3 linked regions of the Drosophila melanogaster genome follow. The protein of the gene in region 3 interacts with the protein of the main gene of each other region in a pairwise test. Each region holds a gene or a part of one and is shown on either strand. Other genes may lie near its edges.

Evidence for each region.
Region 1: the proteins of CG12567 (region 3) and Cpr66D interact in a two-hybrid assay, tested with the Drosophila melanogaster proteins (one large-scale study listed by BioGRID).
Region 2: the proteins of CG12567 (region 3) and Twdlbeta interact in a two-hybrid assay, tested with the Drosophila melanogaster proteins (one large-scale study listed by BioGRID).

Annotation. Positions count from the first base shown.
Region 1 is NT_037436.4:8,636,683-8,646,213, reverse strand, and holds Cpr66D (cuticular protein 66D), read right to left. Parts: upstream 5,776-9,531; 5' UTR 5,661-5,775; coding exon 5,370-5,660; intron 5,301-5,369; coding exon 5,133-5,300; intron 3,160-5,132; coding exon 2,806-3,159; 3' UTR 2,630-2,805; downstream 1-2,629. Other genes in the region: CG13305 (uncharacterized protein), read left to right, coding at 1-465, 926-1,046, 1,130-1,198; Zasp66 (Z band alternatively spliced PDZ-motif protein 66), read right to left, coding at 7,861-7,947, 8,019-8,057, 8,616-8,775.
Region 2 is NT_033778.4:11,859,967-11,867,161, forward strand, and holds Twdlbeta (tweedlebeta), read right to left. Parts: upstream 3,287-7,195; 5' UTR 3,250-3,286; coding exon 2,653-3,249; 3' UTR 2,571-2,652; downstream 1-2,570. Other genes in the region: Mgtor (megator), read left to right, coding at 1-97, 349-636; CG34230 (uncharacterized protein), read left to right, coding at 1,391-1,499, 1,550-1,635, 1,690-1,822, 1,879-1,940; CG42531 (uncharacterized protein), read left to right, coding at 4,238-4,340, 4,406-4,488, 4,553-4,691, 4,744-4,823; Damm (death associated molecule related to Mch2 caspase), read right to left, coding at 5,377-5,455, 5,534-5,939, 5,990-6,197, 6,248-6,289, 6,356-6,388.
Region 3 is NT_033779.5:23,169,521-23,178,575, forward strand, and holds the start of CG12567 (uncharacterized protein), read right to left. Parts: upstream 4,873-9,055; 5' UTR 4,615-4,872; coding exon 4,542-4,614; intron 4,434-4,541; exon of another isoform or gene 4,403-4,433; coding exon of another isoform or gene 4,372-4,402; intron 3,946-4,371; exon of another isoform or gene 3,850-3,945; intron 3,662-3,849; exon of another isoform or gene 3,553-3,661; intron 1-3,552.

The sequences.
Region 1 (9,531 bases), on a different chromosome or scaffold from region 3:
TGCCGCACCCCCTCCGCCCCTGTATCCGCAGCAGAGTGTCCAGTACCAGCAGCGGACCATCGCTCCACACGCCGATTTGGCCAAATATCGATATGAAGGTAACTATCTGCCAGTGCAACGGGTTTCGCTGCAGCAACCACAACGCCGCGTCGAGGAGCAACACCAGTTGCAGCAACAGCACTTGCAGCAGCAACACTTGCAGCAGCAGCAGCACTTGCAGCAGCAACACTTGCAGCAGCAACAGCAGCCGCAGCAACTCTACAATGTGCCACCGGCTCTTTTTACCAGCGATGTGTTGCATGTGATTCCACCTCGCATTGCCAGATTGCAGGAGCAGCAGCAGCAGCAACCCTCACAGAATGTCCAAACGGAAAGACCCAGGAGGTACGCCAAGGATCTGGACACGGATGTGGCCGAAACCAGAAGTCCAGCTGACCGAAGTGCCAAGGAAACCAAGTACTTTCAGTAAGTTAATTGGGTTGAAAAATAATTGAAAAGTGGTGGTTGCTCATTATTTTGGAATAGCTCTTAACATGCACTTCATGCCTAAAATCAATTATCCATTTTTTACACAAATTTATTAACATACATATTCATGCAATTCAGTAAGAAAATTTCGCTTGAATATGGGTGAAATTATTACGAAATAACGGTGGTGGTTCAGTTATTTATTAAATAAAAGGATTTTCCTAGTGAAAAATGGTGGATGTTTACCCTTTCGAACTTAACAAGTAGTGCCAACAGTTTTTTTTTTTTTTTTGTAGAAAAATTTTTATAGAAAAAAGGGTGAAAAGTGAGTAACATATTTTTGACAAAATGGTGGCTGTTATTTAAACAATGAAAACTAACAATTGGACAATTACAATTACTTCCTAATTCTAAAATTAATTAGTACTAATTTCTTTCTTTTAATTTCAATGCTTAGTGACATTTTCATGCGCTTTGATGCACCCGATTCGCGGAGTCATGGCCACGTCCTGAAGCATCCGAAGGCCCAGGAAAAGCGATTTGAATCCCAGCGAGGCACGAATCGTTACAAGGGCGAGGTGAGTTGAGCTTGAGAGCCAACTTAATAAATTTCCAGATAATTCGGCAGACTTTCTCCCTCTTAACCACTCGATCGACTTAGGTGATTTGGACAGATCGTCAAGGAGGTCACGGCGAACATCGTTGGGACATGGCGCAGGGAAAACTCTGAGATCAGACCTCGATTTGCATACTCCATAACATTTTTCCCATCCCCCCCAAAAACTCTCTGTACATACCCATGCGAACTCGCATAAATCGTGACTTTTCATAATTTTGCCGTATTATTTATTTAAGGGCAATGATTTGGCGTGAAATTGGAATGAGCACTGCAAAAGATTTGCATACGAATGCAGCTTGCTCAGCTTCTTGTCTTAGGTCATCTTCGAGATGTGAGATTTTCTCACGGCGCTCCGGAAAAGTGGACTGTCCAACCGGTTACACAAGTTCAACGGGCACTGGCTGGGCCATCCAAAAAGGTCAACTGGCGACGGGCCATCCTTTAGCCGGAAACTGGTTCCTCGAAGTGACCCGAATGTCCTGCAGTTACTTACACTTACAGGACAAGACAGTCGATCGGTCGGTCCATCATGCGGGTCGCTCGTTAAGGATATGTAAATGCGTCTGCCAAGAAGCAGGACGAAGGGGTTGAAGATGTGTGAGGGTATTATCTTGTAACCTCGGGGGTTGCACTCGCCTCATTTGCATATCCATCCAAAGACGGCCAAGCAAATGACACAAATGCCCGGCGGCCTGGACTAATGTCCAGTTGTTTGTTGGAATACCAACGGCGTGAATGACCACGCACATGTTCGGGATCCTTGCAGCAGATCAATATTTGATCCCCGAACCTACATATGTAAATGGGTTACAGGCCCTTTGACCCGCTATGCGGGTCATTAGCGAAGCGATCCCGACTGGCTGTCAGTCATCGCACCTCAACTCATCATCTGGAGACTGTCCAGAACCGGTTCGTAATCGCCGGCCGTCTTCTGCTACTTCTTGGGCGATAAGGTCATCAAAGCCGGGGATATTCGACTGCTCAAAGTTCTCACACGCTCGTCTAATTTATGCAAGGACATTGCAGAAGGACACTGCGATGCGACTGCGATGCGAATGCGATTGCTGTTGCTATTCCTATTGCTTTTGTGGCGTGAGTTCCCAAAGGACAACCGGTCTGACCGGTCCAGCCGGGTCCGAATCCGAAGCCGTGTCTTCGGTGACCACGATCCACTGTGAGAACTTCCATTAGATGGCCTTTGTCAGCAACTGCCCGAACGGGTTGTCTTTAGATCTGCCTTTTGGGTGTTGTCACTGGGTTCTTGGTCCGCGTCCTTTCTGAACTTTGCCAATTGCTCGGGGGGTTAGGACATTGATTTATACGCAAATAAAATTTGTTTACCTTCGAGTTGGCAGACATCGGTGTGACCTCAATTTGGGGAGTCTAAGATATTAAGGTTAACAAAAACCGGAAAGAAGTATTGGAAGGAGTTTCAAGAGCAAAGGGATTTGTATTACTCAATCATTGGTGGAGTATTGACCAAAAACGAACTTATCACTTAGCCTCACACAAAAATATTCCATGACACATTTCATGTTTTTTGAAACTTTTAATTTAATATTCTAAACAAGAAAGTCGAACCTAAATGAATGATATAAAATAGAATAATGTTATAATCTCGTGCCAATCGAGTCTCGGCATATTTACAAACTACATGGACTTGCGGAACTTTCAAGAGTGTTTCGACAAGAGTCATCGATCTTGGATGGTCGAATCACCTACTGGTACTGGTGGTACTGTGGCTGCTGCTGTTGCTGCTGGTGCTGATACTGCTGCTTGCTGGGCCCGGAGCTGTACTCCTGCTGGGCCTTGTGCCCTCCAGCGCGGAGCAACTGCGTCGGCGGCGGGGGAGTGGGGATCTTCACCACGATGTCGGTGGGCTCGCGAATGACCTCGGCCTTGAATCCCTCCTTTGGATCAGCCGTGTACTTGACGGTGCGGATGAAGCCATCGGAGTCCACCACCGAGTAGCTACCCTTGATCACCGAACCGTCGCGAATCTCCTTGCGGTTCTGGTAGTTGGTAAACTCGTCGTCCTTCACATCGAATCCAAACTGGTACGAGGAGTTTTGCTAAAAAACATTGTTAGTTAGGCATTAGTTGGGAGATGAGGCTATAACTAAATCTATTACTTAATATGATTTATGAGTAATTAGTAATATAATTGCAAATGCTTTTAGCACTTGTATGATATTAATCTCTTGAAAGGCACTTAAATTTTTTTAATTTCTAAATTAAATGTGATAAAAAGTTATGATATATTTACAGAAAGATATGGGTGCCAGTGAAAACTAATTAAATTGTGCAATGAAAATAGTATCGATTCCAATACACTTTTGCAAAGAAATAAAATCAGATTGGGCACTTTGTGAATGGGGTGGGGCTCGATGGGGACTTTAAATGCGTACTACAACCTGGTGCTGACCCACTTTTGAGGCTGGCCCAAAAAACGTGTCCAGACGCTGGTGTTGCGTCATCGCCCCAAGGCACATTCGCGTAGGCTGTGCAACTCCAAACTCCCAATCCCAGATCACGCACAAGTGAAAGTAATTTGGAGCCGCTTGCATATTTTAATGGTCCGATCGCACGGAATCAAAGTGCCGGTTCGTTGCAGCGGCTGCGGATCACACGATCGATCCGTTGACTGCGGATTATGTTTATGCAACCAGGCGATCGAAGCACCACCACCCATAAAAACCTCGAGGCGTTGGATAATTTATGCACAAGGTTGGTGCGATTTCCCCCTAGTTCTTGTGAGGATCCAATGGCAGCAAGACCTTCGATTGGCCAAGACAATCGGATCTAAGATTGCTGGCAACTGGGTTAAGGTAACAAGAAGATCGTGGCTTTAGAGCGTGGCCACAAATCGATTCCTCGTTCTTTTATTTTAGGTAGCCTTTTAGGCCTGACGTGGACCAAAAAAACAAAGAGCTTAAATGCCCACAGAACTGCAGGCCAAAAATTGGAAAGGCAAAGCCAGTTTGCAAGCCGGTTCTAATGCGTGCCATGTCCATTGGAGCTCATTGTTGTGGGAATTGGGCTCGGAGTTGCAGATCTTATGGTCACGGAGTGGGGATTGGGGTAAATGGGTCGCATTTGAAAGTGATTGTCTGGCGGAGACATTAAGCGGTAAATTGCAATCACTTGTAATGATTAATATAATAGCTCTTACAAATTTGACAATGCTAAGATGTGTTTTAATCATTACATGTGCCGCCACATGATGTTTTCCATTTTCCTAGTGTCTACTAATTTCTTTTGCATTTTAGTTTTAGGATGATGAAATACCAAATTAATTGTCATGTAACTTTTTTTTTTTTTTGACAAAACCCATCAAATCCTGTTTGGGCCATCAATTTTAAGTGGCTAATAGGATGACACACCAACTGAGCACCTTAACCCCATCTCGTTGGCTTGCCGCCGCATTAAGCCTGATGGATTATGGTCACTTTGGTAACGGATATTCGCCAGCTTCCGCATGCAAAGGCCATAAACAATCGCCGGTGGCTAAGTGGCCAAACGGACCGGACCAGGAGCGAACCCGGGCCAATGAACATGCACAATGCGATGCACACACATATGGCCATGGCCAAATCCACACTGTTGCCACACTGAGCGTGGTTAATGAACCCCAAGTCACAGTTGCCCTCCCCCGATCCATCCCCCAATGCCATTGCATGCTTCAATTGTAATTATGTTGTTGTTGTTTTCACTGATGTTGCAGTTGCTGTTGCAGTGAAGCGAAAAGGAAAGTGCGCGAAAGTCCCACTCGAATGTGAGTTCGAACACCAGCTGGGTGCACCGCAAAAAGAGGATCGATTTCAATTTGATATAAAGTATCAAAACGGCTTTGAGTTAAATAATTAAGCTTGTTTCTTTTTTGCAAATTGATTTAAACTGGTTACTTTTAGCTGATCACTGGGTTTCATAGATATCTGTTGATCTATTTGTTTCACATATCTTTTTCATTAATACTTCTTCATATCCGCACCTCATTATTTGTTTGAAAAATGGACATATTGTTTTACGTGTACTGTTAACTTACGTCATCGTATTCCTCCTCCTCGTTTTGCTGCTGCAGCGACAACTTGTGCTGTCCTTTGCCGAGGATCGAAGTGGAAGGAGCCTGGTAGGAGGACTGCTGAATCCTGCGTGGTGGCTGAGGAGCAGCCTGGGCAGGTGGACGGTAGGCGGCCTGCTGAGGCTGATATTGCTGTGAAAAGGTTGTAGATCCAACAATATAGACATCTAGATTATTTGTACAGTAAGTAAGCAAACCCACCTGATAATCCCTGACCGATGGAGCCACGTATCCCTGTTGCTGCTGTGCCCGGATCTGCTCCGCCACCGTATCCTTGATCCTGATCTGCTGGCCAGAGTTCACGTACTGCTGCGTCTGCTCCGAGTTCTGCTCGAAAATGGGCGTGCCATCGTGGGGCTGAGCCTGCTGTTGCTGCTGCTGTTGCTGCAGCTGCTGGTAGTACTGCCTCAAGTAGGCGGGATCCACGCCCTGTTGTCCACTGACCACCACGCCGCAGATGGCCAAAGTGGCCGTCACCAAAAGGAGTTGCATGTTGCTAAGGGTTTACTGGATACTAGATCACACTTGGACGACGGAACGCGGGCACTTGTATTCAAATTCAAACGCTAACTGAAACCTCGACGGAGCCACAATTGTATCTGCGCTGGCTGCGAATCCAAATTGCACTTTTATATCGGCAAACGACAAACGACGAGCGGCAAGCCAAACGACGGCTCTCTCACGCTCTTATTGGCCATAATGCGACTCTCTTGGCTGATTTACAACAGCTGTTTTTTTGGGTGGCCAAAAGACCCCAACTCGGTTGTCACTTCCGTTCGAATCACAGTTCCTCTACCCTCGACCTGGGCCATTGTTAAAGGTTTTTTCCCTACTTTTTTTTTGTAACCCTACGTGATCTCGGCCAACAGCTGTTAACTTGGCCAAAAAAAAAAAAAAGAGGAAGCTGACTAGCATTGGAAAACTTTCCCGAATTTATCATTGCAACAGCTATGCACTCACACACTTTCGAGGGCATGCAGTGCCCACGAGCAAATGTAAATTGCATTTGCAGTTTACTCCTTCGACATGCATGTCTATATAATATAGCTATATCTATATTCCACGCAATTCTCTTGATGGCTTCCCATTAGATAATCATGCCCAATTAATCGCTTGGCTCTTGGAGAAGAAGAGGTCAATGCGATCGGAGGAGGGCCACACCCGAGTCAAAAATCGAACCCAGCAAGTGCATTGTTGCTGACCCAAATTCGACTAAACGTTTTTCTATGTATCCATCTATCTGTGAATAGCTAGCTATCTATATATGTATCTGCCTATCTGTATCTGAATCAGACGTTGCGTTTGCGTTGCGGTTGAATGGGTTCAAGCGATCTTCGATGTCGCCGATTGCCAAATCTTCTCTTTTTTTTTCTGCACTCCCAAGCCCTTTGCATATACGATCTTTGCGATCATGTGATGGTGGCATTAAGCCCCATAAGTCCTCCTACAACATTTGATACGTGATTACAATTGCCACAGAGCACTCTTTTGCGTATGGTTCATGAGATACGCCCTGAATTTGCATCGATTCGCAGTCGACAAGGTCGTTTCGGGGGAGTCGAAAACGGGGCATTAAATGTGGGGCTGACCGTTTAATGGGATCGCGCTGACATTGTAACAGCTTTGAAATAAAGCAAAATAGTACACAATCGAAAGAAAAACCAACCACATTTGTGGCTTACTTAGCCGTGAAGTGAAAGTACATTATGTGTTGCAGACGATTGTTATGCACATTACACACGTACACACACTCGAGTGACTTATTTCCATTCAAATTAAAGTCAAATTTATGGGTACGCTCATTTCTCGGCTCATGTGTGCATATAGTTTCAATATAAATACGTTTAATTGCCGGAATGATTGATGGAATAAGTGCAAATCTGCAGCGTCATGTTATGCAAAGATTTTTGGCTACTTCTTTTTGACTTCGGTTTGCTATGGTTTTGAACTGGGTTTGGCCCTACTTAATGTTTTAAAAGAAGGCAGGCTGACAGACAAAAGAGCTCGTCATATTCAAATTATTGTGATACAATTACGTTGTCGGCATGTTGAAATGTACGATTCAAAATATATTGCACTTTAAGCGTAAATTTCAGGTGCAAATGCCTTTAAATTACATAATAGTTCCACGTCATATGATCACACTTGATATATAAAAATCTGATTCATACATATGTACGTAAATTAGCTTGCTTATATTTATAACACATAATGCACACACATTTCTTTCATCCAATCAAAGTCACTTTTATTAATTAAAACATTCTTAATACCTATTACATTCCATGACTAGAATCACTCGGTATTAACACGCCTGACTGGCTGTTAACTTAGAATCAGCATAACATAAACATAACTATAAACCAAATTTTACTTTCCTTTTTTTTTTATTTAATTAATTTATATACGTTTTCTATTGCATATGCAGACAGTAATTAGGTTGAGGCGGCGTTAAGTGGTGTTTATATCGTAAATTTATTTCGATGCCAATTGATTACCAATCCATTATATCATCAAGCTTGTTAGTGGTTCACAATTTCTTGTCGTTCTTCATATAATTTATTGAGTAAGTTAAACAGAATTTCATAAAAATCCGCTAAATATGTTAGGAGATAAAACAAGTGCAGCAGATGTTGCCGATGTTGCGTTGATGTTGATGTTGCTGCTGTCGCTGGTGTTGCAGCTGCACTTTCTAGTACTCGGTGGCACCAATCACGCTGTACATGAGACGATTGAAGGAGCCGCTCTGGCGTATGTTCTCATCGTGGGTGTTTACCACCTGTTCACCCATCATAAGACACATCATTAGTATAACATTCAGTTAACAGTGAATAAATCCGCGCTACTCACATTGTACGGCGGCCGGGATACTGGCGCTGATACTGGTTTCTGTAATAGCATTTGGATGGAGTGAACAGATAAGATATAGCTTAATAACTCTGGCTAAATCCAGCAATTTCGGTTAAAAACTTTTTAAATGCAATATTCAACTGTTATGAGCTTCGGTTAGATGTTATTATTCCGTGTTAGAATGCCAAAAAGATGTGTGCTTCTTGTGATTTGGAAAATATACACATATATGGAGTTAATGGATGTGTTTAGTGTAGTTCGATGCCAGCAGATGATCGATCGACCAAAAAATCAAGTTAGTAACACTACTTCGGCCCCGTTAGTCGTCGTTACAGCGCGTTTACATGCCGCCAGACAAGGACACACAGACACTGTTGACTAACATTCGGTTGGATCAACTGTACACGTTACATTGACACGAATAGAGAGACAGCGAGCGAGATAGAAACAGAGAGAAATAGATAGACTTTGTACAGGATGAGCTTGAGAATCGAGCGATATTGTCGGATGCCTTCACATAAAGTTTTAACTGAGTTCGACTGATTCGAGTTGATTGAGAGATTTGCTTGATTTTCGAACGGTTGCGCACGATCTTACCTTTCCTGGAACCAATCTATTGGGCTGATAGACCTTAGTCTGCACAGGAATGGTCACTTCCTGTGGCGAGGATTGGCCATAGTTGCTGTAGCCGCCCTCTTCTTGAATGGCTCTGTAGGTTTCGCTGTTCCTGGGATCGTACTGGACAGTTTTCTTATAGCTGCTCGTTGGCAGTGGTCAGTGATTCGGGTTCCGATTGAGATTAAGTTTCAGTAATTCGGGGGTTTGCATTGAGATCGTTGAAAGCGCCGTTATTTTGGTCAATTATTCGTTGGATTTTTTGTTTTGGTGTTACGCAAGTTTTAAAAGATTTATTTATTTTAATTTGTTTTATTGTTGTTGGTTAATCGAGATTTATAAAAAATATGTTGGTTTTTTTGTTTTTGATTTTTTTTTACATCGGTTGAGTAGCGTGAGACAGAGTAGTGAGAGAATAGAAAGAGAAAACAGGATGTGCACAAAATACGTTAGAATTATTTTGTTTTTGTTGTAGTTGTTGTTGGTTGTTGCTGTTGTTGTTGGGCAATAGGTGTGCTTTGTTGTCTTGGAACTGCACACTCCTCAAACGGATTGCGATTAATAGGAAACTCATAAACAAATTCCTTACAATCTAGTTATTATTATTATTAAGAGTAATCAAACAGAACTGCATAACAAGGTGCGAGATTATATTGAGATTATCATGTATGTATATCATCGGATGAGTCGAAGCCTTGAGATCGGGCGGGATTAGGGTGGTTAGTTAGTCTCGTTCGGTTAATACTGGATGGGTTGCGATAGCGATGGGGATCAAGAATAGGAACTTTCAGTGCTGTCTTTCAAACAGTTCGTAAATATAATTCAGCAAACGTCTTTTAGTTTCGGATTAGTCTTTTGGGGTGGTGGGTCGGAAAGAAGTGTGGACGGGAAGGACTTT
Region 2 (7,195 bases), on a different chromosome or scaffold from region 3:
CAACCAAGCCAATCTTGGCGAGGGAAACCCCACCGAGGACAGCGAGGGAGCCGACGGCGTCTCCTCCGAGGGTGAAAAGCAGGCGGTGGGTGTTGAGGTAAGTAGTACTTGCATTGGTGGCAAGATAGCTGTGGAGAAAAGCAGGTTGGTCCCGATGAGACCCTGCATGGAAATACGTTGCTTTGAATGTAATTAACCCCATGGGATATGATTTGTAGTTCACCCCACTTATGGAGTGCATGGAATATTAAATACTGAAGAATGGATGTAATGTTTCTGTTGTAATCCAAACCAAGACCAATCTGCACCAACTGAATCCTAAATTGATTGCTCTCCATTTCTTTTTAGGAGGAGGGTCGGGAGGCGGAGGCCACTTCACCGTCGGAGAACACGCGATTTCGCACGCTGCGTAGTGCGGTGCCCACCCGACGAGGACATCGCGCCATGAGGGGTGGCAGTCCCAACAGCCAGAACCGTCCGCAGCGGATTGTCTGGCAACGGGACACGTCGCCGGGAAACATTCAGCAAAACCAGATGTCAGCCAATAACAATCGCTTTGCGCAACGGACCCGCAACCGTCGTCCCATTCGTCGTCCGCCTCCAAACAACTTCAACAACGGAGGACGATTCCCCTAGGGCGAGGAGTTCGGCGGACCCGCAGACGAAAGTCCGCTGTAGGCTGACTATAAAATCATTGCGTTTACTGGGCTAGAAATAAGTCTCCTCGCATTTAAAAGCGCTTAGGCTAGGATGAGCCACAAATACATATTACTCTACATTCTCCAGCTTGCGAGTCCTGAGTTTCTGCAGTTGACAAGATGCAAAGAGCTTTGGTTCTTGTACATTAACTTTGCTATAGAGTTTTTAATAAATATATGTGTAATTTTGTCGATATTTGATGCACCTTTCTGGGCAAGGATTTCAAACTGCTGTTACCCCAGCACTACAAAGTGGTTTACTCCCTGAATAAGTTGCCTCATTCTAGTAGTGTTATAACGCATTAAGATGTAGTTTTCCCCTCTTTAAACCATATTTCTTAGACTTTAAAGTATTTTAAAGAATTTCCACTAATGTTTTTGATATTCAAATGAATGTAAAAGATAATAATATTACAGTATTTAAACAAATCAATTAATTTAGTTTGATAACGTGTTCGATTAAAATCGCACTAGTTCTAATGTGAAATATAGACCACCGATTGCACTGCACTTTGGTGGCATTGACCTTAATTGGTCTAAGCTACGCAAGCCGATTAATTATGCAGCAAGCATTGGAACATGAAACGTGCTCCGAATTAAAGACTTCATCATAATTACCTGCTATTGTAAGTCAGTTGGCCAGGCAGTTCGTATCCGAAATTGGCTTAGAAACCCCCCAAAAAGAAACGAAAATGATCTACTCGGACAATTGCTGTTGCTGCGTGGATCTGAAGTGCGGAAGCATCCTGATAGCCATCGTTGAGGTGCTAATACGTGGACTAGATCGCTTCTTTGTTGATCGTGAGTGGTCCTGAGCATAGGAATAGCTAAGATATAACTGGCTTTCTTAGGTGACAGCCTGCTGGGACTTTTTTCCCTTGTGGTGAGCGGTATCTACGTTATCTGCTGCATTTTTCTACTGCTGGGAGCAGTTCTGGTAGGGATCCGTAATATTTTGGTTGGTGGACAATATAAAGCTGTCTAATTACAGGGCCTGAGATATTTTCTGTTGCCTTACCTCTCAGTTTCCTGCCTGCGGTTCTTCATTTTAGTTGCCGAGGGCGTGTTTGTAGCCACAGAGGGCATCATGAATGAATATCTAGTTTTCGATATTCTTCAATCCCGTAAGTTGCATTCAATATTTCGGCACAATGTTCAACTTGGCCAAATCCTTTTCCAGTTCTAGGCTTGTACTTTTGGCTGGTGGTCTACTCCTATTATGATCGCTTAAAGGACGCGTGAGCTTGTAAATTTTACAGTATATTGTTAAATATTGGTCCTTATAAAATTTATTCTTTCAATGTTCTATCATTTTGGATATAAAATAAAGTAATTTATAACCTTTTTTGGCAAACATATAGTATATTTGGAAATTATCTAACCATAATATCTTCAATTTCCGGTCAATTTTTACTTTCTTTTTCTGCAACATCTTGCAATAATGATAAATATTTTTAACGCTTTACATACATTTTTAACAATTTTAAGGGAAATCCATGTTGTAATCCATTGTTCAATGCGCTTTTGCAATCTTGACCTAAGTAACCAAATAAACAAATTGAAAGTTGAATATTGTATTCGACGTTAATAACGAGTAATGCATAATTGAGCAATATAAATTATTGCTTTCCCAATTATCGGTACCCAATAACTTGCGCAGTAACCTCATTTGTATTCAATGCGTGCTCCTGGTAAATAAAAAAAATATCGAGTGCCTTTGTTAAGATGCACTGATTGATGATCGTATCTCAAGATTTCTGGATCCGCAACGAATGGAGCGCTCATGACTTCAAGGTAGTAATATGAAATACTGTAACCGCTATAATAATTTTTTCATCAATATCCCAAGGACTTTAAGATCCGGCTGATTTTGCTTTCTCTAAACTCTCTTTAATGGCAGCGATCATAAATAATATTTACATTCATGGGCTGTAGACCTAGACGACACTACAAACTAGAACTGCTCGACGGTGCGGGGGGCAGGTGGTGCTCCGTACTCCTCGGATGGGGCGGACGGTGGTGGGCCGTACTGGGTGGCCGGCTTGGCCTGCTGCTGCTTATACTTGATGAAGTAGACCTCTGGCTTGCTGGGCTCTGTGGGCTCTGGAGCGGGCAGGATGACGGGCTGCTGCTCCTCGGGCTTCTTGACCAGAACATACACAAGGGTCTTGTGCTCATCCTGGACCGGAGGAGGGAGCACCTGGCGCACAGGGGTCGGAGGGTTGGGCGCCTTGATGAAGATGATCTTGTAGTGCTTCTTGGGAACGGCCGTCTGGATGGGCGACGAGGCCGGATAGAACTCTGGCTCCTCTGGCGGCACATGCACGTACACGTTCTTGGTCACGAGCGCCTCCGAGGCGGCTGGTGGTCCGTAGAAGGCGGCTGGTGGTCCGTAAACGGGTAGAGGCTGTGCTGCCGGGGCCGGAGGACCGTATTCCTTTTGGGGAGCCGGCGGTGGCGGCGGTCCGTAACGCGATCTAGGTGGTTCCGGACGCGCCACACATATGGCCAGACTGGCGGCCAAGAGAAGGAGGATACACTGCGTCTGCATGCTGATGTCGATGGTTCGGCTGCGAATGAAGCTACTGCTGCAGGTCAATCGAGTGTTTTATATGAATCCGCCACCTCAGCAATGCGTAGCTCCCCCGCCCTTGCATAATATTTCCGATGGCTTCCCAATCGCGTTACGCGCAGCTCTTCAATCCCCGCCAGCAATGCGCGATGCATACAAATTAGCTGGCGCACTGTGCCCATTTCGATTTCGTTTTCGATGCCCAGTGTGGACATAGATTCCGTTTCCGATTCGGGTTCGTATCCGAAATTCGGCTGATGAAAACGAAACTGAAAACTGCACAGGCAAACCAGATCAAAGGGAGGGGCCCGTCGTCGTCACGTTCTGTTTTTGGGTCTTCCCGGCCCCTTTTCGGCCAATATTTGCCAAAAGCATTCGCCTTAATGCTCGATTGCGATGTTCACTTGTAATTTATTATGTAACTCGCACATTGCATTGGTCGGCCAGGGACGGTCATTGGGTTCCATGATCTACACTAAGGTATTTATGGGGCGCCAACTTCATAAAGAGGTTACTAACCCGCGAACAAGAAGTAACCAAATGTGAAATAATGAAAATTAAATTCATTTCTGACATGTAGAATCAACAAGCATTATTTCGGTAAATTATCTACTTATTTTAACGCTGGCAGTCCCAAGTGATATTCGAGTAGTATAAGCACACAATGTGCTTTTTAGCTTAAAAACCCCCAACTCGAAATGAAAGTCATAATGCACTGAAACCAATGCGACTGGAATATTCGCAATTCGCTCACAATATGTCATGATAATACGTATTTAATAGATAAGTAACAGATACGTAGCTTCTATTATTTGGCAAACTCTATAAGAACGGTTTGTTCCCATGTCTTACGTTTTTTTTTTTTTTTTTTTTTTAACAGTACTAGTTGTAATATAAACTGTGGTTCTCTGACAGTAGCTCTGCTTTTCTAATCAGTTTATGGAGTTGTCTAGATAAAAATTGTAAAATGGTGAAAAAATGCTGTTTCTGCATTAAATTGCGCAGAGCCTGCATCATCATAGCCATCGTGGACTTCATCATTAACTTAGTGGTGCTTAACTTGGCGGGTCGTAAGTTTGGGGCTGGCAGATCCATTTAAATGATCACCCTGGTAATGCATCCCACCTTCATCTAGAGGAGTTCATCGCACACATTGAGCAAGCGGTGGCAATCTGCCATTGTATCGGCTGCACATTCCTGCTGGGCGGAGCTTTAATCGTAAGTGCAGCCACTGTTTGGCACCCACTGCAGCCGATCCCATCTCCAAGCTAAACCACTATAGAGATCAACTGTTCTCCTGATGTTCTTCCTGATCACTAGCCTGACCAACTGTATGATCCTGTTTGTGTACTGCATCTACATGCTGATTAAGGAGGAGCGGTACCGCGAGATAATAGTCCCAGGATCTGCAATATATATATGTAAGTTGTTATTTTTGTGAGTTACTGCATCCTTAAAGAACATCCTTTTCAGGCTGTGGTATCTACTTCTGGATTGTCGTCTACTCGTATTATGTCGAAGTCAGAGATCCCGAAGACGTCCTGGAAGTTTAACAGCTTACGCAGAAAGAATAAAATTGCCTTGTGGGTCTGGATTGTGCTATCTGTTTTTCTAGGTGCTTATGATCTCAATAGTATTTAAGTTAATTGTAAAATTCATTCATGATTTTTTGGTGAACTCAAATAAAATTGAGATTATCCCTAGCAAATCGGATTCGAAATTAAAAATATTATAAAAAAAAATCTATTGTACAGTACTTTTTACAATCAACCATGTCAGAGCTTTGTAAATTCCAGGTGCGCTTCGTCACTAAGTTGACTGCCGTCCACAGATATATTTTGTATATTGGTAAATAAAGTTTGATAAATAGGTAAGCGCGTTATAATGCCTACCCACTTGCTTACCCACTTCCTTGAACACTTAACATTATCTCCGGGTTCCGCTTCGATTGATTTATTTAAAGATAAGATATCAACACAGTAAATTACAGTTTGACAAAGTGAAAGTAAATATATGGATCAGTTGAATCTGTCATTTAACTTTACTCTGACCAGAAAGTATCTTAAATATATTTTAAAGAAATTCTTTAATATATAACTCAACTCATTAAGTGTTTTTAGCATAATTTCCAAAATAAAAGGGTTTGTCGAAGTTGTGCGACTCCTCAGAAGGAACTTGTTTCGAACTGAAAAACAGAGAAAAGCAGGAAGTACATCATATAGTTACATCCTGTTGCCACACTGCTTATCCTAGTAAAACTTACCCTGTCATAGTTGACCTTCGTTCGACCTCAGCCTTAACATGCTTAAAGATCGACTGAAAGTCCCTGGTAAGGCCATATTGGTCCATTGCCTCGCACAAGGTTTGTATGAAAACCGAACCATGATTTTCATTGCGATAGCTCAAATAGCCCTCGGAGCAGCTGTAACACTTAATATAGGGTTCGTTGTTCATTTTTTTCGCGTCAGCTCTCAACGGACCCTTGCAGGCTTGAACAATTAAAATTTTTGGCTTGCCAGATAAGGTTGGATTTCTAAAGAGGGGAAAAAGGACGTCATCGTCCAAGTGGTATTCCCTGTGGTCGCATGCCAAGATTTTCTCTTTTCGGTCGCCATGGCTCAAGATAAAGAGGACAAATCCAGCGTCCTGGGTGAATCGTTTTGCAGACCCTTGAAGAAATTCGTTACTAAGAATAAAACCGTTTGCTCATATTTCTTACACTCCTTCACTTTGTTTTTAACGTCCGGCAACGCTGGGTTAGAAATAACTTCAACTCGACATTTTAGGCTTTCGAATGTTTTGCGAAGAGCATTGACATCATTTGAGCTACCCTTTCTGTTCAATTGAGAATCCTGAGGGAACTGCTCATGATTCAGAATGTACACGGCTGGCGGCTTTAGTTTTTCATTTAAATCAAGGCCTTGACCCTAAGGAAAATTCAATGGATGATTTGTGATTTTCTTCAATTTATACTTACTGGTTCAGCGTTGACCCTGTTGCTGTCATATAGTCTCTCAATCTGTATCAATGGATTTTTCGTAAAGACCATTAAGTTTCTTAAAATAATAATAATAACAATACGTACTTTTTGATGTTCTGTTCTTTCGGGCAGATACATGTTTACTGTTCGGCGATATAACGTTAACTGAGTAATGCACAAAAGCAAGTGCAATATTTGTTGTCTTATCAGTCACTATCTGGCCAGCTATATAGCCAACATCCGGATTTGTTCATCGACAAAAAAAGTACAAATTGAGTTACTATTTTCCGATTAAAACTTCCTTTACTGACCTTCTGACTTTATCTACCCGCCACTCGTAGAATAGAAGATAACTCGTCAACAGGCTGTCTTGCCTGTCTTTTGCTGTCTTTTCTCCCGTTGACTCTTTTGGGTTTTCACCACCGACTTCATCTGTGCAAATGTTAAAAGCACAGCCAATTAATTAAGTAAGTAGGTTAATTAAGTAATAAAGTAGGGTAAGAGGGTATAAAAAGGCAACAATCGGCAATACCTTTATAATCGGGAAATAACAATAAACACCCAAGTTGTACTTGCATTTGTCGATGAATATGATTGTGCCATAAATCTAATACGGGCCTTTATGTATTACTCAGTTAAATTTAGATCGGGGAACAAGAAACATGGATCTTTTTCAAGGAATTGAACATCAAAAAGTACGTATTGCTACAAATTGACAGACTATATGATTTAATCAAAAAACTTAAGCCTCCAATTGTGTACATTCTCAACATGAGGAGTTCCCTCAGGATTCTCAATTGAACAAAAGGGGTAGCTCAAATGATGCCAATGCTCTTCGCAAGACATTTGAAAGCCTAAAATGTCCTGTTGAAGTAATTTCTAATCCAGCTTTGGCGGTCGTTAGAAACAAAGTGAAGGAGTGTAAGAAATATGAGCAAACGGTTT
Region 3 (9,055 bases):
GAATGACAGAGCAGCTGCCTTTTTATTCCTCTCGTTAACTTCCAGACTGAGAAGTCACTGTTGTTTTAGAAAAAGTAACAACATTTTCACTAGAGCGCAGTTCTGATTTACTTGGTGATGGATTCATGTTTTCTGCATAGCCGGTTCAGAGACCGGCTAAACTTTTAGACCAGCTTAAAGCTTGTGGTATTAAAACTTAAACCTCTCTTTCAAGCGCAGTGGACCAGCAGTACGTAAAATAAGCGCGCATTACAAAATTTTTTTTCCAATAAGATAAAGCACGGCTATGTTAAGACGTCTTGATACACCATGAATCGACCCTGGCGTTGGACCGGCGAGTCCGATAGTGCAGGAATCCTAGCGACGAGAACTGCAGTGTTGTTACTGGCAAGCGGGTGTTAACGTTTATTACAAATCTTTTGAGCTAGACGCTCTTACCTCGTAGCGAGACCAAGAAAATCCGTCCGTTACAACATAATTATCATATTTAGCCAAGACCAAATACAAGTAATTTCTATGATGATAATTGGGCAAAAATAAGATTCCCGATTTCTCATCGTACATTTTCGGGTACACGCCGAAAGTAGCATATTTTCAATTTTATTTTAATTTTACAATGTAGAGTACAAGGGTATATTTAATTCATTAAAAAGTATGTATCAGATAGAACGAAGCGTTTCCAACCATATTAAGTATATATATTCTTGTTTAGGATCAATAGCCGATCCGTCCGTCTGCCCATATGAACGCCTCAATCTCAGGAACTATAAAAACTTGGATGTGAGATTAAACATGCAGCCTTCAGAGACATAGACGCTGCACGAGTTTCCAATTGTTGCCACGACCACAAACAGCCCAGAACTGCTACCCCCACACATTTGTAAAATGTTTTGATATTTGTTCACGATTTTATTAGTTTAAAAAATTTCTATAATTTTGTTAAATAAATTTTGCCACGCCTACAAACCGCCCAAAACTGCGCCGCCCATACACTTTAAAAATGTTTTGATATTTTTTAACGGAACTCGACTATATTATTCTCTTTTGTTTTTTTTTGTTACTCATTGATATTCTTGACCAACTAGAGTACCAGAGTCCCTAAATTGTCTTCCTCCTTCGAATACTCTCCTTAACAAGAGTCCCCAAATGTTTTCGATGATGTTGATATCAGGGAAGTAATAGGCAGCCACTCGAGCAATTTGACATTTTGATCCTAAATCCACGGTTTTATAACCCCAGGTATGGATGGGAGCAATATCATTCATACCCGCATGTTCCATAAAAAGATACGGCTCCTCCACCTGCACTGTGGATGTGATGTGGACTTAAGAAAAATTCTTCCTTTCTCACATCGAGGAAGTAGTTATTATAACCATCCAGTCCATCAAGGTTGAACCAAAGACTCCAGAATAACAAGATGCGTAACGCCATACGATTTTTTGGCACACGATTTTTTGGCCGTGGCTCTAGAGGTGGCTCCAGGCTCTCTCGAATTTTTGTTAGAGAGCGAGAGAGCGAAGAGCGCTACAGCGAACAGCTCTTTTCAACGCACAAAGTGATAGCAGACAACTGTATGTGTGCACACGTATGCTCATGCATTGTAAATTTGACAAAATATGCCCTTCACCTTAGAAGTTCTTTGACTTTAAATCTATATTATTTTTGATCAATTGGCGAAAAATTCTTGTTTTGCATTGCCTTAACGTTATTATTATTTGAAAATAGATTAGAAATAGTCAAATCTATGTACATATTATCACAAAAATAAATTTCAAAAATGACTTTATATAAGAATATTTGTCATTAGAGTATTCATCTTGCGGCGTGTGAAAAATTAATAAGGCAATGATTGTTGAGTGCTTGTGTCCGCACTTCGTGCCTCAAGATATGAACCAAGGAAAGACACTAGAATAATTGTAGTGTCTTTGATATTACGTTTTGCAATAAACAGTTATCATATTTAATTATTTAGTATATTTATTAAATCATTTGACTTAATATGATGTAACATTAACATTAAAAGTGTTTCAAAAAAAATATTTCGCTTTTAAAATATTGTCAGATGAGAGACAAATTAGAATTAAACATAAATATAAATGTGTAAACGGTAGCTAATTCGAGCGGCGATTTTAACAAACAAATTTAAAAAGCTTTAAAATTATAATAGTCAGGGCGCGAATTTTTAAAAATTATTTTATTTTATCATATTGCTACGAAATTGGCAAAAACTACCCTAATATGTACAATGTAAATTCGTTTCTTCGATCAGAATTGATTTCGGCCCGAAAATCGTCTTCTAGCACAACACGCACAAATATACGCGTTCTCGTCTCTTGTTTTTACTCACAAAAGCAAGCAAATTCTATTTTTAGATTTCTTATGCTCTCAGCGGGAGCGAGCGGAAAGAGAGCAATTTTGGCCGTCACTAAAAAATTGGCTGCATAGTGCCAAACCAATGTATGGCCGTTACGCATCTTGTTATTCTAGTGTCTTTGATGGAACCATGAATCAAAGAAAATATTTAGATGTCCTTAATAATCATGCATTCCCCTCTGGTGATAAATTGATTAGAGAGTCCTTCATACTCCAGCAGGATAATGCTCCCTGTCAAAGGGCCAAACTGATTACGCAGTTTCTGAAAGATGCTTGCGTAAACACATTGGATTAGCCACTTTAAAGTCCAGACCTCAACATAATAGAAAACCTCTGATCATATATAAAACATAATAATCTAATCTAGATGTCTAGATGATCTTATCTAGAAGTCGCGAAGAAACGATTTTGGAAATTCAAACCTTATAGAAGGATATTTCAATAGATTGTATCCACAGCTTGGTAGTCTGTACCAAAACGTCTTCAAAAGGTGACGCTTAGGGAGGGTATATTTTTTATTAATTTGTTAAAATTTTTAGTTGACTTTTTTCTTTTCAATTTATAACATTTAAATACATAATTTGTCCAAGTACTTATCCCACTGATAATTTGTAAAAATGTAATTTTTGTTAAATCAACAATGAAGTTATCCATATGTTTATGTTACCTAATTTAACTTCGATAGTCAACCTTTTTACTAAAATTATTAAACAATTTTGATTTATATAATATATATTTTGCAATATATAAATATATTGAATATATTTATTGTCCAAATACTTATTTCCACTAGTGTAAATAAGAAAAATTTGGAAAGAGGAATAAATTTCTCTAACATTAACATCAACCGGCGACCAACTTAGACATGAGTTTTGAAATTGCTCTTTGGCAACGCTTTGTTATCATATTAAAGGGAACTTTTTAGCTTTATAACATACTTTACCTCTTACTCAACGAGTAACGGGTAGGAGGAGGTGGAAGGAAAGAAATGTTTGGAAATGTACACTTCTTTTTTGCCACAAAAGTTAATCTTAGAACTTTTGTACATACACATGTACATTTTTGTCTTAAAGGAGAATTATCACTCCACCTTCATCAGATAGACGTCATTGTAAGCTATGTATGTATGTATTTATGTATATTAATCATAAGTATGGACATACATATGTACATAAATACACTGCAATCCCAAAATGCATTCTACTAAACACATCACACAATCACTAAAACGCCAGAAGATCCAATTGCTTCGAATGCACAGCCGACAGTCGCCGAGCCCATAGGCATCGTAAGAAACCTTAAATTTATAATTCGCATCGGAAGATGCAAAGAGAAATAAGACAACAAAATTGCACACTTGATATTATATTTTTGTGAGGGGCAGACGCTATTTTTTTAGTGCCAGTTTTTCGGATTTAATTCATTAATTAATTAATACATTTTTGTGTACATTATACTAATATACTTCACTTTAAGGTAAATCGGACATGTACACCAATATTCCAACACAACTGCCGCAACTCCGTAGGCAATTCCAAGATAATGCATAATTTAAATAATAAGTCAAATTATAAAAAAAAAACTATTTTTTGTAATAAAAGAACGATGAAATGAACTTTGATGTTACATTAATGAACAGTTGATGAAAATGGCCCATAAAAGTGATGAAAAAGTAATAAAAATGTATCTCTTCAAACACTATTGAGGATTTAGGGATTTTTGCTCGACTTGGCAATGATTTCCTAGGACATTTTAATGTTAAAATCATGGCTATTTTTCCATAAACAATTACGCCGTGATTCGGCGCTCGATATTTTCACTGAGCGGTGATTAATTGATGAAAGGACAGTGTGTGGAACTGCAGGGTGTATATAAAAGGAATTATAAATATGTGTATTTGTACTCAGGTAAGTTTTGTGTGTGCAAATTTGTAAAACTGATCTTGCTCATAACCCTTCCTCCTTCCAACACAAATAGTTATTTGAGACTCATACATACGTATGTACAACCACATCAACGAGACAGCCATTGCAAACCTTCCTAAGTTATTTAATACTTATGTATATTTTGTTTGCCTACATATGGAATAAGTAATCGATAATTCACTTGAACTATATAAATGTATGTTTCGGGTCTTAAATGCTAAAATCCATGACATGCTTTCTTACCTGAAAGGTAAAAGTTGTTAAACTTTTGCGCTAAGATCAGCAGCCTTGATAGCTTCACTTCGGTTGAAGACATTTAAACTATGTAAGTTCTGATCGTATGTAGGGAAAATGGATCTACTATCGCCGGCTTAGTTTTTACCGCTTTTTCAAGGAAAAATTTAAGTTTGCGTTCTGTTAAAAGCCCACTGCAAAAATTTTTACAACCACTTTCAATGATAATATTGTATCAGTTTTTTCAGTGGTAATTCTTCACTGCCCAAACCAATCCCATAATAAAATAAACACACAGACTTAACTAACAATGGTGAGTAATGTAGAGCATCACTCAATGGTCCGTTTTCCAGCACTTACTGAGGACAAAGAGATGCTCTGTTGGCACTACAATATTAATAAGTAACATATTTGAAAGTTCGTTTGCGTGTTAAAGGCTCTAGGTGCAAAGCCGGACAGCGATGAATAAAAATAAATAGTTTCGTTATATATCTGATTGTTTACTTGACAAATAAAGAATAAAACTGAAAAAACTTTTTTATTTACTTTTTAAAACACAAAGTTTGTTCCAAAATAATTATATTTCATCAAATATATTAATTATAACATAATAAGAATAGTTATTAGAATGTTCTAAATACTCATTTCACACTGTTAATTTCTATGGAGATACGAAGGAATACTCAATATGGACCGATTGCTTTTCGTTGAAAACGTAATACCTTTCTACTGACTTGAGCTCAAAATATACTGGATATAAAATAAGCATCGAAGCTAATCTACTATTAGATTCCCGCTTAGCAGCTTATGATATTGTGAACAAGAATTTTCACAATTTGTTAAGGAAAATCGATAATATAACTAAAACCGTTAGTCCGAGTATCAAATTAAATCAAATTAAAAAATTGTATGGCGCATGCAGAGGCGTGGCAAAAGTTTTTCTGGTATATCAGTAGACATAAACAGTAAAAAGATGAAAAATCAACACATTTTCCAAAAATGTAGACGTGGCAGTTTAGGTCATTTACAAGACTTATAAAAATATGAAAAAAATCAAAACATTTTGAGTGGGCGGTTTGTCGGAGTGCCAAAAGGTTTTTTTTGCAAATCAATAGAAATTTACAAGACTAATATAAATATTAAATATATCAAAACATTTTGAAAGAGCGTGAGCTTCTCTGAAAGCTGCATGCATAATCTAGCTTTTACAGTACCTGAGATCAAGGAGTTCATACGGACAGATGGACATGGCCAGTTCGGTTGAGTGGGTATGGCAGCATGAATCAACAAACTTGCGCTACGTCTGTATCTCTGGAAACTGTATGCTTAATCTCAACTATCTAGCTTCAATAGTTCCTGAGATCTCGACGTTCATACGGACGGACTTCGCTATTAATCCTGATGAAGAATATGTATATGTCGCAGATCATTTAATTGTAACGACATTTCTAGTAATTGCGCGTTTCTGCTTGGCACGCGCCATGCAGGCGCCTTTTCTATTCTTTTGATGCGCGGCAGAGAACCGCTACAGTTTCTGCCGAACGTAGTCTGGTCGCTGGTAGGAGCGGGGGAAGTAGATTTGTGCAGGAATAACGGAAGCGTACAGATGTACTAATGCGGTGTGCATTAGTATTGATGTGTGTGGACTGGAGTGGGTCTCCAAGATGTGTTGGCAATGCGTGTAGAGTTAAGAACTACGCGTAATTCGGATTTTGTGAAGAGAGATTGGATTAGTTAGTTATACTTTACATGGTCGAAAACGCTTTCATGTACCTGTTAAATGCCTTTCAATAAATCTAGTATACTCTTTTACTCTACGAATAACGGGTATAAAAGGTGAAAACTACGTGATTCGCTAGGCCTGCTTGTAGAATAGCAGGAAATAAAAGATTCCTTTACGAGTTAATTTCGGTCTGTTCCTATGTCTGTGTCTCTTCGCTGTCAGTTCTAATAAATGTTGAAGCATCGTAGTGCTGATATCAATAAGGTAAAAAAATGTTCATCACGATGTCGCGCTTTAACTCCTACTAAGACCTTATCTCTATTCTAATTGCTAGCCATCGAAATATGATGACGATGATACTTTGCTTAGCTAAGTGAATGTGAGAATATGATTTTATCTTTAGCAGTGCCGGTAGCTTAGTCTTATCCTTCTATTGTGCAGTATCCAAATGACATAATTGATAAATAACGATGCTTCACAACACTAAATAACCTGTCTTCACCAACTCTTAAGATAAACAAACGCTTAAATATAGAGACAAAGCTGCATTTTGGTCGTTTTGTTGTACGCTTTTCCGTCTTTCTTTTTTTTATGGAAGGTATGGGATGGCCTGGAAGAGCAACAGACACCGCGGCGACTGCCATTCTTTCTGCTGAAATCAGGGATTTTCATTGTGAACTAAAACTGTGATAATGTAGGTTAAGGATTCTATTGTATCTTATCCTACATATTGAATTCATCAGCGGTGCAGGATTTCAGCACACGACCAATATCCACTCAAGCGTGTCGAATAAGTAAATAGTATACATTTTATGTCAGCACTTTTATTATTGAATATGCTCTCTTGATTTTACCCTCATCAAGGCGTTTTCATATTTAAAAAATATAAGTTTTGGAGATACAATTTATTGCTTACTGTTTGAGTATACATTTATACTATAACCAGAAAGTAGTTCGCACAAAGAATATGAATGACGGATTTTTGCGTTCTGTGGGCGTGGCCAAAATATTTTTCCCAATAGCTTGCAAGACAAAAAAATCAAAACATTGTTTTAAGTGTGTATCGGTTTTGCGCGAGTTAACTCCTTGTGTAGGTTCAGGAGATAGAAGTGAGACTTTGATTTGATGTTGATTCCCAGAGAAAGGTCCGTTGGAGTTGAGGTTGAAAATCTGAATGAATTCTTTTATATCTTTCTCCTACTTTACAGTTTGGATTGGTACATTTACGACCGTAAACTAGAAGTGGAGCGGATGCGATTCTGTGTCGTCAAGTGGCCCCGATGCTTAGATCGATTCAGAATCTCCAGTGCTAATCGACAAAGACTCAGCGTTCAAGTGGTCGCCGATGCAGCATTTCGGATGTTTGTTGATACTATGTTTTAGCGTTTAAGTGGGCCGCAACAATGTACTTGGTGATATATAGTTACTGGTACCGTAGCAGGTGTAGCTATAGTGGGTGTGAAGGTGGCATGTGGTGTAGTCTCTGGTGTGAAAATTGTTGTGTTCTTTGGGAAACATGCGACGACAAATACTACTATCAGTAGTATATCGAGCATCGTGTAAGTCCTTGTTGTTTGGATCGTGGTTTCCCACTGTAATTTGTTGATCTGCATTTTTGTTTCCATATCCTCCATCCTCAGCTGTTGTATTCCCAACTGGTGGGTTGTCCTGTTTCTCTTAATCGTCTCTACCCGAGGTATGTCCAACATCAATTCTTCTGTGCCAAGCCTCTCCACCGCTTCGTATTGTACGTTGTACACCATCGCCTTGCAATGGGTGAATGTTTTGTCGACTCCGAAATCCGTCTGCAGTTTGACATTCCTTCCATTGAAATTTGCGATGTAGCCGGGCTCCGGTTCAAAGACCGTTGCGACCAATCCGACGTCCTTCGCCTCGCCTTCGCCTTCAAATTTGGGCGGTAACAAAAATAGCACTGTAGTAGTTTGCTAAAACTAAATAAAAAAAAGAATTCAACAAATGGATTATATCTGAAGAGCTGTTGGCAATGACAGCTGCGCATCGTCTTGGCATGGAATCCAAGTCCTGGCACCGTTTTTGAGGAATTTTGCTCCATGAATCCTTGACCACACCCCAAAGTTCCTCGTTATTATTGGGTTTGGCTTTAGAAACCTTTTTTTCACGTCCGCCCAAAGGTTTTCGATTGCAATTCAAGTCGGGTGACTGAGCAGGCCATTTCATAACTCGGATCGATTTCTGCTCAAACCACTTTCAAGCTTTCTTGCTCGTGTGTTTTGGGTCGTTATCCTGTTCAAATGTCCAAACCAACGGCATTTCATCCTCGGCATATGGCAGCATTACATTTTCCAGGATATCTGTGTAAATGTGCTGATCCATGATGCCTTGAATTCAATGGATCGGACCTACTCCATAGTTTGAAGAGCACGCCCATACCACGATGTTTGATCCCCCGTGCTTTACCGCCTTAAAGGTGAAGCGAGGATAATTTTCAGTTCGTGGTGGACATAAGAACATAAGACCGAGAGCCTTTCCCACCAAACAACACAATTTTGCTCTCATCTGACCACAAAATGTTGCGCCACTTCTCCACATGCCAGTCCTTGTGTATCTTGGCATATTCGACTTTTCTGCAGCTATCTGAATCTCCTTGTTCAGTTCCATCGCCGGCATAAAAGGCTCCTTCTTGCTTTGCCGAACCAAGCGCTTGATCTCCACGTTTGACACTGAGGGCTTTCTTCGCTGTGTTTCGTTCTTTTCGACAAACATCAGCGCGTTGCGGATCATTTTGTTTGAACAACAGACAATGCGACCAATTTCAGCG